Alligator mississippiensis: one gene and its partner. The protein of the gene in region 1 binds, or shares a complex with, the protein of each later gene. Links are inferred from orthologs where the notes say so. Each region holds a gene or a part of one and is shown in the gene's direction. Other genes may lie near its edges.

Evidence for each region. The genes of interacting proteins can lie anywhere in the genome.
Region 2: the proteins of FN1 (region 1) and COL1A1 are in contact, whole or in part, in a crystal structure (PDB 3GXE), measured with the Homo sapiens proteins. The link is inferred for Alligator mississippiensis from reciprocal best matches to the Homo sapiens genes FN1 and COL1A1. Residues at the interface, in NP_997647.2 of Homo sapiens: Asp516, Gln517, Lys533, His535, Glu537, His539, Leu541, Gly549, Arg550, Gly551, Arg552, Trp553, Lys554, Cys555, Pro557, Gln560, Phe569; in NP_000079.2 of Homo sapiens: Leu261, Pro262, Gly263, Met264, Lys265, Gly266, His267, Arg268.

What each region holds. Positions count from the first base shown.
Region 1 is NC_081827.1:181,041,681-181,049,334, reverse strand, and holds the start of FN1 (fibronectin), read left to right. Parts: upstream 1-4,559; 5' UTR 4,560-4,717; coding exon 4,718-4,868; intron 4,869-6,497; coding exon 6,498-6,626; intron 6,627-7,654. UniProt on the Homo sapiens protein: Fibronectins bind cell surfaces and various compounds including collagen, fibrin, heparin, DNA, and actin. Fibronectins are involved in cell adhesion, cell motility, opsonization, wound healing, and maintenance of cell shape.
Region 2 is NC_081827.1:169,758,635-169,765,677, reverse strand, and holds the start of COL1A1 (collagen alpha-1(I) chain), read left to right. Parts: upstream 1-3,933; 5' UTR 3,934-4,055; coding exon 4,056-4,137; intron 4,138-6,432; coding exon 6,433-6,627; exon of another isoform or gene 6,628-7,043. UniProt on the Homo sapiens protein: Type I collagen is a member of group I collagen (fibrillar forming collagen).

The sequences.
Region 1 (7,654 bases):
AGGGTGTGCACGTGCTCTGGCAGTGTTGTCTGCTGACAGAGGCAGCACAGTAAAGGTGTAGCCTCAGATATTTTTCTGCATTCTACTAAGACTCCTCATCTCCTTACTGACAGATGAAATCTCGCTCTCTGGCGTGTGTACACACCCACCCCCACACTCCCTAATTCTCTTCCACTATATTATATGGAACCCTATTAGCAATTCTTGGCAACAGCAAGAGGATTCATCTTGTGCCCCCATTATCATCATTACAAACACCTACACAGAAAAGCTTTCTTAAACATTTCTAGGCTTCTTGGAAAACATGCTTTCAGTCTCCCTGACACACTTAACATAACCTGTAGACTTGCTGGAGCAGGTCATTTTTGCTTTTTTGTCTCTAGTACCTGGCACAAGCACATCCTAATTCTTAAGTAGAGCTTCTAGGTGCTAGTGTAGTACAGATAAGCTAGACATGATATCCCATTGCATATGTGGATTTTCCAAATTGACAAGTCCTTCTTTTCCTCACTTGATACCAACTCAGCAAGAGGATCTATTCCAAATGTCTGAGAAAGATATATTCCTATTACAAACAATCAGTTTAGAGCATTGTAACCCAGGAATACATACCCAGAATCTCTCTCATCGGAGGATTCCAATTCAGCATCTACAATTAATTCCTGGGTAAAACAGTATACAACATCTTAAATATGGGGACCCATTTTTAAAAATGAATGTATATTGTAAGTATAGTAGAACCAGATGTTCACTGCTTTGCAGAGATTTGCACCTGTTACAAGATTAAGTTCCTCTCTGGATACAGCCACACCAGTTCTGTGTGCACATTGAATGGGAGGGAGCTGGTACCTTGGATAGCTTACATCTAAAATTAGAGATGGAGAAGGATCACAGTTCACCTTTCTCATGCCATGACTAAGCTGATCCCAGCTCACCTTAACTGCCAGGTCAAGTTCCTGCTGCCAATCTTCAGGCAGATAAGACTTCTGGGTAATGGACACAACTATGTTTTTAAATGGCAAAGTAAGGAGATTTGCAAATGTGCTTTCCTGAGACAATAACTTCTTATATACCTGTACAGTTCATACTACAATGGGACCCTGATCCCAGCTGGGACCTAGAGACAATATTGCGATGCCAACAGAAAAAAACTTGATAAGGAGTTTTAGTGAATAGAACTAGACCAACGACACTCAATCTTTTGGTCCCACAGGCCAGATGAGTGGCATCAGGTGGTCAGTAGACTGGACTGGACCCTGTGTTGCCCCTACACATTGGGATTGGGCCCCGGGGCTATGCACCACCTCCACTCAGCTTTGCACACTTGAGACTGGGGCCTTGTGCCACCTCTACATGCTGGGATTGGAGACACAGGTCCCCATGGGCTTCTGCTTGGCTCCACACACTGTGACAGGGATTTAGGGTGCCCCACAGGCTGAATTATATGGGCTGATGCCTGGATCTGGCCCATGGCTAGAGGTTGAGAACCCTTGAACTAGATTTATATTTCAATATCCTTTGTTTCCCTGAAGAACTCTCACTGGTATCATTCAGAATTCAGCAGTAGGTCTGGGAAAACATGTGTCCATGCATGTCAGGACCCGACCTACTCAATCAGGAACCAGACTAGCCTGGTGGTTTATCATCTCTCAGCTAAGAATTTTTATGACACGCAGCAATAGCTCCCAAACCAATTCATAGAGAAGACATACAGGCAAAATTGTTATGTGGCATCTTGCTGTCCATCATCCCAGAGGAAATTCATCCGTGCCTTGATGGGCCACTTCAAGTGCCATTTTGGGGCTGCAGCACAGCTGTAGGTGGAATGACCACATCTGGTTTCTTATATAGACAAACAAAGAAGGTATTGAACGTGGACTAGCCAGAACAGGATAGGTAGCCATGCTGATGGGAATCCATTGACCATGAACACTCCACATTCATAAGTGGAACACTAGACAATGCATCTTTGGGCCAGCATGAAAGCTGTAAACTGCAAGGAGCTGTAAACTGAAGGAGGTATGCTTCTAGCTTCGGGGTGTAGATTTTTATCTCCCTAGAATGCCTACAGATGTCCTACAGAGCCTAATTGTTTTGGCTTCCAGCTGAAGAGTGGATCTGAACACAGTTACACTTCTCAACCCCCAGCATTAGAAAGTCTTTCATATTATCTTAGCAGCCCAGGCTTACGTGCAGACTTCCATTTTCACTACTATTGTTACTTAAGGTAGCTAGATTAAAACAAGTACTCTCACCCACATGACACTGACTTCTCCAAATTCCACATGGATGTACCCTAAAGGTGAGTGGAAGGGACTACTTTGAGTGCAATTAACATCTTAGCCATGAGGCTTTCCCTGCTACCTTCTGACATCATGGGATATTTTCCAACAAAAGCTGTGGAGGAGAGAATGGGGGAGTGCTTTCATTGGTAATAACTTCTCTTTTTGAGGAGTGATGCCACTGAAGTTATGTCAGAATGGGGGAGTGCTTGATTGGTAATAACTTCTCTTTTGAGGAGTGACACCACCGAGGTTATGTCTAGGTCAGCGTTTCTCAACCCATGGGTCACAACCCAGAAGTGGGTCACAAACAAATTTTAAAGAATTTTTTCAACAAACTTTAAAAATGTATTCTCCTTTAAATGAGAATGATGTGGGAAACCATGGGTTTCTCCTTGCAGCCTGGCAGAGTTCCAGCCTGGAAGGGGCTGAGGGGAGCAGGAACAGGGTGATCAGGCAGGGGGCACCATGCGCAGGTGCACATACACACATGCACATAGCAGCCAAGCAGTGTGGAGAGCAGCTCCCCACAGGGAAGTCTAGGGGGGCATAGATGACGTGTCGGGGACAGGGGGCACAGGCAACACTGCCTGCCACCCCACCTTCTCTCTGGGGTGGAGCCATGGCTTGAGGGGAGCGGCAGTGCAGTTGGGCCATAACAGTAGGGTAGAGCCACAGGCCGGCGCATGAGCGGCTGGGGGCAGGAGAAGGTGAAGGCAGTGCAGGCCTGCTTCCGATCTATGACTCCTCACACTGGTGGCAGCGTGGATGGTGTGTAGCTCTGGTGGCAGTGGCAGTAATGAGTCTCGCCGCCCTACTCTGCCCTCCTGTATCAAGTCCAGCACTGGGTTGCGGAGGCTGCTGCATCTGTTGGGCTGCAGCTCCGTGTCCATTAAGTGCACAAATCTGGGGGGTCATGTACCCACCCACCCATATGCCCCCCCCACACACTCATCCCCTGCCCCACACACTGGTGGGGCCTTGTGCCTGGGGGTGGTGGGCACTGGGTGGGGAGTGAGGGGCACCAGCAGGGCTGGGGCTGGGGGGGTTGGGAGTGAGGGGCACTGGCAGGGTCAGGGGTCTGTGTGTCAGGGCTGGACATCAATGTTTACAAATGGGCCCTGGTACAAAAAACATTGAGAACCACTGGTTTTGGTGACTAGTGAAGAGAATCATGATCATAAAGCAAGATCTTTTCTTTATGAATTTTTGGGAAGCAAGGAAAATAAAGAAGGATGCTCAGAGTCCTGACGGGCATTGGCAACGCATAAGGGGTACACGCAGGTGCACGCGACCCCCTGAGATTGACCACCACCAACATTGCCGCTGGTGTCTGCAGGCGGTCACTGGCAGTGGTGTCTGCGGGCGGTTGCTGCTTGCTACCCCCCATTGCTGCTGACACCGCCACGGCCACCTGCTGGCGGTCCCTGCTCGGCCAGCCCTCGCTGCCAACGTCACTGCGGCCACCTGCAGGCGGTCCTCGCTGGCTGCCGCCATGCCCCTGCCACTGACACCGCTGCCTGCAGGCTGTCGCTGGGACCCCCCAGCCTCTGGAGGCACAAGGCGTTCATGCTGACAGGGATCCAAAGACCTGTGGGGGGACAATTATACTATGGGGGGAACGGATCATGACCTAAAACAGTGTGAATTAATACCCATTGTTAGTTAATATTCTCCTCCTACTCCCTCTCTTCACAGAAGGGAAAACAAACCTCCCCCAAAACAAACAAAACCAAGATTTTCTTCCCTAATCCCATCGACTTCAGGGCTGTTGAGTCTTTACTCAAGAGAAAAGGCTTTATTGGGTTGTTTTTTGGGGTTTTTTTCCCCGCAATATTTTGTGCGGTATTTTTTGCAATACCATTGTGAGAGTGCTTCTGGCAGCCTCGGGATATTCATAGCGTTCGACACCCGCCTTTTCTTTGCTTTAGCCTGACTGGCGGCGAAACGGAGAAGCATCTAAAGGCATCAAAGGCCATGTATTGCCTGGGCCTCTCGGGGAGGCAGACCCGAGCAGCCCGTGACCGGTTTTCCCCCTCCAAGCCGGGGGCCACGGGCCGCGTCAGCTCGCCCTGCTTCAGGTCCCGTCCGCGCCTCACACAACTTGAGCGAAGTTTGCAGCGGTCGCTTTTGTTCGCCGCGGAACGCTCAGCCCCGTGACGTCAGCGCGCGCCGGGACCAATGGGAGCCGCTGGAATTAGAACAGGCAAATAGGTGCGGGAGCGGGAAGGGGGGCGCGGGCTCGTGCAGTGCCTCCGCTCGGCCCCGCTCCCGCCGCCGGGGTTATATCAACCCCCGCGGGCCGGCGCTCGGCCGCTCTCGCCAGGCAGGGAGGAGCGGGGCACGGCACTCCCCGCAGCCACCCCGGGAAAGTTGCAGCGAAGTGCAGAGCCGCTGCTCCGCTTCTGCCCGTCTCTCTCCCCCACCTCTGCAGGATGCCCAGCAGCCCCGCGGGGCAGCGGCTGCTGCTGCTGCTGCTCTTCGCCCTGTGCCTAGGGGCGCGCTGCACGGAGCGCACGGCGGCCAAAAGCAGGAGGCAAGCCCAGCAAGTTGTCCAGCCCCCGGTGCCCGGCACGCAGAGCAAACGTGAGTACCGGGGGAGGGGGCAGGGGACAGTCCCCAAGAGCCCTGCCACAGCTGGCAGGGAGTTGGGAAACACAGAGCAAGGAGCAGCGGTCTCAAGTTGCAGCAAGGGAAGTTTAGGTTGGATATTAGGGAGAATTTGCTCACTAGGCTGGTAATAAAACACTGGAGCAGGTTACCCAGAGAGGTGGTGGATGCTCCATCCTTGGAGGTTTTCAAAACCCAGCTAGACAAAGCCTTGGCTGGGATGATCTAGTTGGGGCTGGTCCTGCTTTGAGCAGGGGGTTGGACTAGATATGACCCTGAGGTCCTTTCCAGCCCTCACTTTCTGTGATCCTATGAAACCCAAGTGCAGTCCTGGGAGCAGGTCCTGTAGGAAGGGGGGCTGAAAGGGATCTGGTTTGACTTGCCTGGTCTTGTGGGCGGTTGAAGCCTGCGATGGAGCTCGGCCAAAAGTTTGGTACTCTGATGGGCTTTGCTTGGCATGCTTGGCAGAGAGAGAGAAGAATGTCCTCCTTCCCCCTCCAAAGTGAGCAAGTTGCAGCATCTTTGTAGTGCCGAGTAGTCGCCTAGCCTGACACTCGTGTAAGGATCTGGCTGCGTGAGTTTTGATGGGCAAAAATGCCACTTCCCTATGAAGACATGGGAGTGGAAGCTGGTTAGAGGCAGCAGGAAGGGAGCTTGCCTGCCACATGCCTGTAAATTAAAGACAGGCAAGGTTCTTTGGGTAGATGTGACATCTCTTCTTAGACCAACTAGCTGCTCTAATAAAAGCTATCACATCTACCCAAAGAACCTTGCCTGCCTATGCCCTCAGACCAACACGGCTACAACCAACAACCCTGTAAACTAAAGAGCTCTTCAGCTGGGTTAGCATCAGACCCCTTCATCTCAAAACAATGTGTGTTTGATTACACAGTGCAATGAAAGAGTTAAACACAGTGAAGCAAAAACACTAATGCACTTCTTTTTGCCAGGTTCTTTGGGTAGATGTGATATCTTTTATTAGACCAATTTTCTGCAAGCAATTATGTTGCGGGGGAAGGAGATGTTTGGTGAAACAATTGCCCTTATCACCTTTCAAATTGGTTGGGAAAATGTAGCCTGATTATCAAGGACAAACTTCCTGGCATTGCAATCCAGTAGGCTGGGAGCTGCTCTCTCAGGGGAAGTGGTGGAGGCCCGTTGCTTGCCACGTTAAGAGGCGTACTGACAAAGTTCTTGGCAGCGTTACCTGGGGAACAATTCCGACTAGCAGCGATGGACCGGGACTTGCTCCAAAGACCAATGAAGGCAATTGAGGTCTTTCCATAGATTCCATTGGCGCTTTGGATCGGGCCCTGGAGGAGTAGTATTTTCCATCTGTAGATTTGAAGCCTGTTAAATCTCTGCTTCAAACCCACCCATGCAGTTTCTGGAGTATTTCATTCAGAGCAGAGTGCCCACAAGGTTTCAAATTCAGTGCTCCATCTTGCTTTCTCTGCAAATCTCAAACTCCAGTTGCCACATTAGGGGCAGGTCCAGGACCTTGGGTATATGCCACTGAATGCTTTAACTCTTTCCCCTTTTTGTTTGAGGGTCATGTGCATGGAGACAAATGTAAACTGAAGACTTATGTTTTCATTCCTTCAGAGGGCTGTTTTGACAATGGCCGACACTATCAAATAAACCAGCAATGGGAACGCATTTACCTGGGAAACACACTGGTCTGTACCTGCTATGGGGGATCCAGAGGCTTTAACTGTGAAAGCAAGCCTGAACGTAAGTCTTTAATGACGAATGTGGAATGGATTGTGAGGCCAAGTAAATGAAAAATCAAATGGTATTATAGATGATGGACCAAGTTCACAGTTGGCATAATGTGGCATTAAAGTCAATAATGGATTTATGCTGATTGACAAAGATTTGGCCCTAGGCTTTAACAGATGCTTTTGATTAAAGATGGGCCACTACCAGAATGCTGCACCCAAGCATCAGTCATCTCTAGGGAAGAATGAATCTGAACCTTAATTTTGGAGCCAGCCTCTTCTTTATAATGAGCTGTCGCAGTTCATAATTACCAGGAGGAAAGTTCAGACCTGCAAAGTTTGACTTGGAACTGTCTCTTCTCTACTTTTTCATTTATTGTATCACCTATAACTTTCATCTTTGTTTCAGAGCTTTTTGCTGTCAACATGTTTTTAAAACAAATTTTAAATTTTTATTGATTACATATTTACTTCCTCCATAATTTGCACTTGAACTTCCCATACGTGTCTGTAAGGCTGGAGTAATTAATACCAGGTTGGAGTAATTAATACCAGTTTATGACCATTCATATCTTCAATGCTGAGGATACACTTCTAGTATCAGCTAAGTGTATGAGGGAACACAAGAGTAAGTTTGGATAACAAGAGATTTTAAGTTTACCAGATGCTGGGCAATGTGACCTGGTTTGGGATAACAGTGAAGTTTGGCTGATCAGATGTTTATTTTTGGCTTGCTATGACTGCTTTGTACTGGTCTGGTGATGCAAAGCAGTCATAAACCTATCTTAACTGATAAGATAGTTTATTGCTGTCTTTTGGCCGAACCATCCGGAGCCTACCAGTGACTCCAGCCTTTAATTATGTATGACACAAGGTCTTGGACACTTCTGCCCAAAAATCTATTATAGTGGCAGAGTACTTTTGACAAGTAACTCTTCTCCCTTCCAAACAGGACAAAAAACCAGACCTCACTTCTCTTAACCGATTACCATTGAACTGTTAAGGTCTCCTGTGGACCATCTAGACATCATAGTGAGAAAT
Region 2 (7,043 bases), about 11 Mb from region 1:
CTTATGCCCAGACCTAACCCCCTGTCCCTCTTCTCTGCATTGCTGAATGTCTTGGTTTTAGCAGTGACAGCAGATTCATCCCTTCCAAGCACGGGGTGAGGGAGTTTGCTGACCACATTTCAAAGGGTGCCACTAATGAGATGCCCCAATTGGAGCTGTCTCCTGGTGCCATATAGTCCTCTAGGGCACAAACAGGGCAAATTCACACCTGAAATAACTCTGTAGCTGCAGAGCACCAAAGAAAGCCATGGCACCAAGGAATGTGTTTTCCCAAGAGCTGAGGCCAAATTCCCAGGTGCCTAGTCTCATAGCCAGGGTCTGGATTCTCTAAAGAACACTGCTCCCAGCAAGGTGCCTACATCAGTTAATTGGTTTCTCACCAGCCCTTGATTCCAGCAGCCACCAGGGCAGCAGATTTCCAAAGCAGCCCAGCCCAAAGCACAGAGCCCATTAGAAAGCCTGGGCCCCATATCACCCTGTGAAATGATTCTAGTGGGCTTGTGGAAGGGTCAGGCCTGAAGGTGCTGCTGAGATGACAGGACTAAAATGTCCTTGTTCCAAGTTGGAGCCCCCCTTTGCATCAGACTGAAACCAGCTTGATGTTGCTCTTTCCCTTCTATTTATTCTGTCTCTCTGCTTTTTTTCTTCTAAGATCCTAATGGCTTTAGCAGTTTTGGGGGGAGAGCGGATTTCTTTTCCTTCTTTCCCTCATTCTGTTCCTACCCACCCCCTTCCCGCCCTCCCCTGCTCTCACTCTCAGCAAAACCATGGCATTCCTGAAATGGCCTCAACTGCTAACTCCAATGATGAGGTGGCGTCTTCTCCTCTCCTTTCTACTCCTTCCCCCAACCATTTCTCTCTTTACATATATATAAAAAAAGATGACATTCTTTTCTTTTCTGTCATGCTGCAAAAATTAAAGACACATCTTCAACCTGGAAGGCAGCCAGCTTTTTCAAGTTTCAGAAGATGTGATTGGAGGAGATTTCTCTTGCAACGTGTCTTGGGCGCATAGATACAGGGTTGAAAGCTGGCCAGATATTTTGGTGTGTGCGCCTGTGTGTGTGTTGAAAAACCCAGTACAGATAGATAGCTACTTTTGGTGGAGCTTTCTTTGCATTTAATTGCAGCCCTAAAAAAAAATAGTAGAGGTCGCCATATGATTCTTCCTTGTCCCAATTTCGACGTGTCCCATTTTTTTGGAGGGGAGGAAGAGAACACACACATCTTAAAAAAATACAAAGCTTCTGGAGCTGCCACTCATGAGTTCCAGCCATCATCCAGCCTGAAGGTGTGAGGAGGTTCAGGGCATTTTAGACGTTGTAGAGTTAGCGATCTTATTTACAGAGCCGTAGAGGGGCCTTATTATCGGCAGGCCTACACTAGGGCTCATTATTTGCACCTATACAAAGTGATTGGGCTCATTATTTGCACTGATAGAAAGTGATTGTCATGTCAGAGCCTCTCCCCTTCATTCTAATCAGGTCGCATCTGAAACCCCTATGCACCCATATAGAATCACTGTCACACACTGCCGCTCCTTGATCGCCTGACTCCAAGATCTGAGTCAAACTGAAACCACCCCATTGAAGAGGAATCTGATGGGCTAGGGTAGACTATCTATTGTGGGCTAGATCCACAACTGATGCTCATTGCTGTAGATTTACACCAACTGGCCACATGGCCCACTGACTCCAGTGGAGCCCTGTTGGGTTATGCCAACTTGAGGTTTGCCCATTGACTCAGATGGAGCTCTCTTGGGGTACACCAGCTGAGCTCACTTCCTCTGCTCCTATTATCTCTGAAAGCAATAGTAAGACATGTAAAGAAATGTGGGCTGCCAGGCATTAGACTCTGCCACCCTTTATTAACATAAACCTTGATCTTGGATGTCCAACACCAATGGAAGTGTTTTTACTGACACTACTGGAAGCAGGCACCAAGGTTTGTGTGTGAGTGTTTCCAACAAAGTAGTAGGACCAAAGACAGTTAGGTCAGAAGAATATGACCCCTCCAGCACTGATAATGTAGACAGAGGTAGATCGTGGTATAAAGAGGCTTAGCTCCATCAACTACCATGATTTATGCAGATAGAGGACCTGTAGTACAGTCTTCTTCCATGACTAAAGGCACATTTGACTTCACACTCTCACTAAAAGAAAACAAAAACCAAATAAAAAACACCCTAATGCCACATTGTCTAGATAACCTACAAAGAATCCTGTGCAATAAATATTTTCTTTTCCTTCTTTGTACTAAAGATACTGCCGTCTGCCATTGCCTGGTAAATATATATATTTTTGTGTGTAATTATAACCTCCAAAAATTGTATGGTATATTGTGTGTTATTGTCAGGGTGCTTTTTCTTTTTCCAACCAACGTGGCTCTTCAAACGTAGAAACAGCTGTGGATCTCTGCCAAGGAGGCAAGAAAGCAGGAAAGAATGAAGGAGAAAGAAAGAGAGAAATGGAAAAAAAAGAAAGAAAATGCTCTTTGCAGCATTTTGTACAGCGAATTCAAAAATCCTCCTGCAGTATTTCAGGAAATGAAGCTAAAGTTTGAAGATTTTATTATTAAGCAGCATTGCCTCGGAATGGAGATGGCATGGTATCTCCTTTTGCTTGGTAACTTCCAGATTCACACCTCTGAAAAGCCATGTGGAAGTTTAGTGGGTTTTTAATTGACTTTGATTTGCAAAGCAGGGTGAGAACATGAAGGCAGAAATCAGAGACTTTTACAGCCCATGGAAACCTCCATTCTGTCGAAAGAAGCGCAATTGTTGAGGCTTTGAGTGACTCACTACTTCTGCTTTTTCATAACAATACATGGAGCTGTATATTGCATTACTGTGTGGCGGATGCATGCAAACATGCTTATTTGCAATAGATATATTTGTGTGTGTGTATGCATATTTGTGTGTGTGTAGGCATATAGCTACAGGACCATTTAATTGTTATTTTTCTATATTAATGAACACATACTCATGCACATAGTGTGGAGTGATGAAAAATCCTATTGCTGCTGTCTAGAGTCCCCTGTGCATTTCCCTTCTGCATGTTAAAGACATTACCCTGCCACGCTTGCTTCTGTGACATTACAGAACTTTTCCAGTGATTCTATTTCTCCTCCTCTCTTCATTTCCCTTCCTCCTAGACCCTTTCAAAACCTATTCTCTTCTGCCATCAGCACATTTTAACAAGAAGAACATTGCCATTGGACAAAAAAAAATTAAAGCCTTTTTTGTGTGCCTTTACTTAAAATTAACAAAGCGCAGTTATTATTTCTAAAAACAAAACAAGGAAGGTTTCCAAGATAAAGCCACAGCAACAGGCAGCAATGCTGGGATCTGGATTTCCCCCCACCCACCTGATCTTGGAAATATTTGCAAACTCCCCCAAAAGTTTTTTTCTATACATTTTGAGAAATGCAAGCTGAAAAGTGAGCTTCTTCAATGCCTCGCTTCCCTGGTGAATCTTTGGATCACCTAAGAAGAAGTGCATTCCACCTGGTGAAGCAGCACACAATTGTTTTCCATGCAGGAAAGCTTCCCTCCTAACAAACAACTGCTCAGCCCAGCCTCTTAACTATGCAACAGCAAAGCACACTTCTCCCCCTTGCTCAAAGAATTTTCCTCCCTGATTCTTCTCTTTCAATATCATTAAGAACCTACCACATCCCTACTGTACATGCAACCTGCACTGCCAACACAGAGGATCCAAAGCCACATAGACTGGTCCATACCCTTGTGACTGAATACAAAGGGGGTTGGCTATAGCCTCCCAACTATTTTTTTTTTTTGCCTGGGACTGTTAGCTGGGCTCCTCTGATTGGCTGAGGGGCTGGTCCAAGATCCCCTCTGCACTGAGAAACAAGCTGGGATGGGATCCACCTCTCTGGGATGCTGGATCATATAAAAAGCGAACCTAAGCCTTGGAAAGTCAGTAGGAAGTTTCTGCTGGGGTCCGGATTGGAACTACATAGTCAGATCCTCCCTGTATGACCGGACTCTAAAAGAACAAAGGGGCCCAAAGAGTCTACATGTCTAATATTTAGACATGTTCAGCTTTGTGGATTCTCGGTTACTGCTGTTGATAGCAGCGACTGTACTACTCACCAAAGGTCAAGGAGAAGAAGACAGTAAGTACAAGCTTCCTTTACTAGACATAAATCTTGGTATTATTGCTTAGAGGCATTTTCTGTTTAAAAGTTGCTGTTGATGTATACAGGCAAGTGCTGCTTTGGGTGGGTTTGGAGCTAGAATGTGAAATGCGCTTCAGAGCAAGCCGGATGCAAAGTTTGCAGAAAAACAAAAACTCTTGTCAATGTTCTTGAGTGTGGTTGCGAACTTCAGCCCTTTGTAAGAATAGGATGGGAATTGCTGGATATATATATATATATATATATATATATACATACACGAATGTATGTATATTGCATGCAGTTATGGCTAGGAAACTGTGTTTGGAATGTCTACCAAGGCAGAGGGAGAGGAAAAAAATGTGTTCGGCGCCTTAAAATGAGGAGGTAGCAAGAATTTTTCTACTCTTGCAAAGCAGCTGGGGTCTGGGGGGGAGCAAGGGGGGGCAGAATGCATTGCGGAAAAGGTGAAGTGGAAAAATGAAGTCTTTGCTGAACTGAATGCTTCCCCCAGTGAAGCTGTCCGCTGTAGGACTCAGCCCTTTCAGAAGTTAACCAGCTGCAGAAGGGGATGGGTGTGTTCAGTTGCTCTGTCTCTTCTAAACATGCCCCTTGAGGGCAGGCAGCCTTGGATCAATTAGGAGTTCTGAGATTCCTTGCCAAGTTCAGAAAGAGGGTGGGGAAGAGAGAGAGGAGCACAGTCTGCCTGTAGGAGGGGCTGTCACCAGAGGGAGGATCAAGGGAAAGAAAAAAGAGAAAGCAAGTTATGGAAAAGCCATGGTGGGTCTTGAAAAGCGAAAGGGAGGGTGGAGGGAGAAAGGGGGAATCAGAGCTGGAGTCCTCGGATCTGCAAAAGCCATCAGGAAAGAATTAGAAAAGTCTCAGATGATTCATAAGGAAAATGTTTTAGTAGCCCATAAAGCACAAAAGTCTAGACATCACTTCATAGACAAAACCTTTTGGATGCTAAGGAACTGGATGCATGAAGTTGCTTGGAGGATCCACAGGCGACCTCTGGTGGCCATCGCCTGATTTACTCCCACAGCCCCCCCACACCTTCCACCCCATTGCCCTGTAACCCTGGAGCCCCATGGGGGGGCCACAACCTGAATCACTACTTGCCAAAGGGGCTCCAGTTTCAGGGTCAGCAGCTTGATAGGCTTACACCCCCACTCAAATGCAGACAGCAATAGCACTAATTCACGCCTGCTGCAGTGATTTACTTGGGCTTGGCCTGCCACCTAGGGACCAAGAGCCTGACTGCCCCTCCACCAGGATCCCCAGCCTATCAACAGATAAGGTTATGCTTGCAAACCCTGTTCTAGCTTTTAGGGGCTTGGTCGGTCACAGAAATCTATGGGCTTTTAAAAAATGAACTGAACACAAAAAGTGCTGGCACTGCTGAGTAACAGGATAGGATCAACTGGCCTTTCAGATGTAGTTTTGCTGTGTGGATTTTCATAGATTTGTCCCTATTTAGCAGCCAGTGCTAGGGAAAGAGCATGGAGGTTTTTAAAATATGAAATGTGTTTAAAATATTTCCATGTTATGAAAAATAACCTGCCTACTTGAAATCCTCCTCCACATACTTCTCATTATGAAATCTATCTGTTTTTTTCAGATACACTCCCCTTTCCCTCATCCCACCCATCAGCCTAGCCAAGCCTACCTGATCGGGTCACATCCTGGATCTTATTTCAGCCTAGCCAGCCCACCTGGCCTTCCATTCGACCCTAGTCTAGTTCACACTTGCTGTTTTTCCTTCCCACTCCAGTCATTTTCACTTGATCCAATTTCCCAAAGCAACTGACTATTACAGAATAAATTCCACTCCCCTCTGCAGAACCCCTCGTAGCTGGGCCTCCGCCTTCCCTCATCCCTCTGCTCCATCCCTCTTCCCTTTAGAAGAATCCACATTTTTATTTAGCTTGGCTCAGGCTCCAAAAGGTTGCAGTTACAGTTGGATTTAACAATTGGCTGTAGGTTTTGTTTAAATTCCAAAGTAAGTGGAAAGAGTTATTGTGGGGTTGGCATGTTTCCTGTGTCATTGAGCACAGCTGATGAGAAGCAGATGAGTGTGCAAGGGTTCCAGGATGAGGGGGAAAAGAAAAGAGAGATGTGTTATTGGAACTGTGGAGAAAAGAAAAACACTCTTGGATTAAGGAAAAAAATAGTCCCCAACTCTGATCAGCCTTGAGAACTACCCTTGTAGCCTCCTGCTTACTCTTATCCTGCAACTTATGGATTGAGCTCTTGCTCATGATGTGTTCCCCTTCTTTCTCATTGTCTACCTAGTTCAAACTGGAAGCTGCATACAGGATGGACTAGCGTACAACAACACAGACGTATGGAAACCCGAGCCCTGCCAGATCTGCGTATGCGACAATGGCAACATCCTGTGTGACGATGTCATCTGTGATGATACCTCGGACTGTACCAATGCTGAGATCCCCTTTGGAGAATGCTGTCCCATCTGTCCTGACACCGCTGGTATGGACCAGCCTCTATCTGTCTGCCTGGGTAGCCTTGGAGAAGGGCCCAGTCACTACAGTATACAGGGATTAAATGCAATCATCCCTTGCTAACCAGGCAGGAAGGGCATGACATGGGTGACTGGAAGACCACCAAAACCTAGACTGGAAACCAGATAGTCTCATCAGCCCTCATCAGGCTATCATAGAGTGCCCAGCTATAATATGAGACCAGAACATGCACCCCAGCTGGGAAATGGGAAGCCTCTCCTTTGAGCTCTCATGGGCATCTTCTTTTTTAGAGGCATTTCTTACGGTCCTGATTATTCCTGGTAGTGTCCAATGGACGAGCATAAAGCACGGTGGACACAAATATGACCCTTCAGTAGAGCATACACCTATTACAGGGTGGGGCAGGGAATGAAGTGCAGGTCT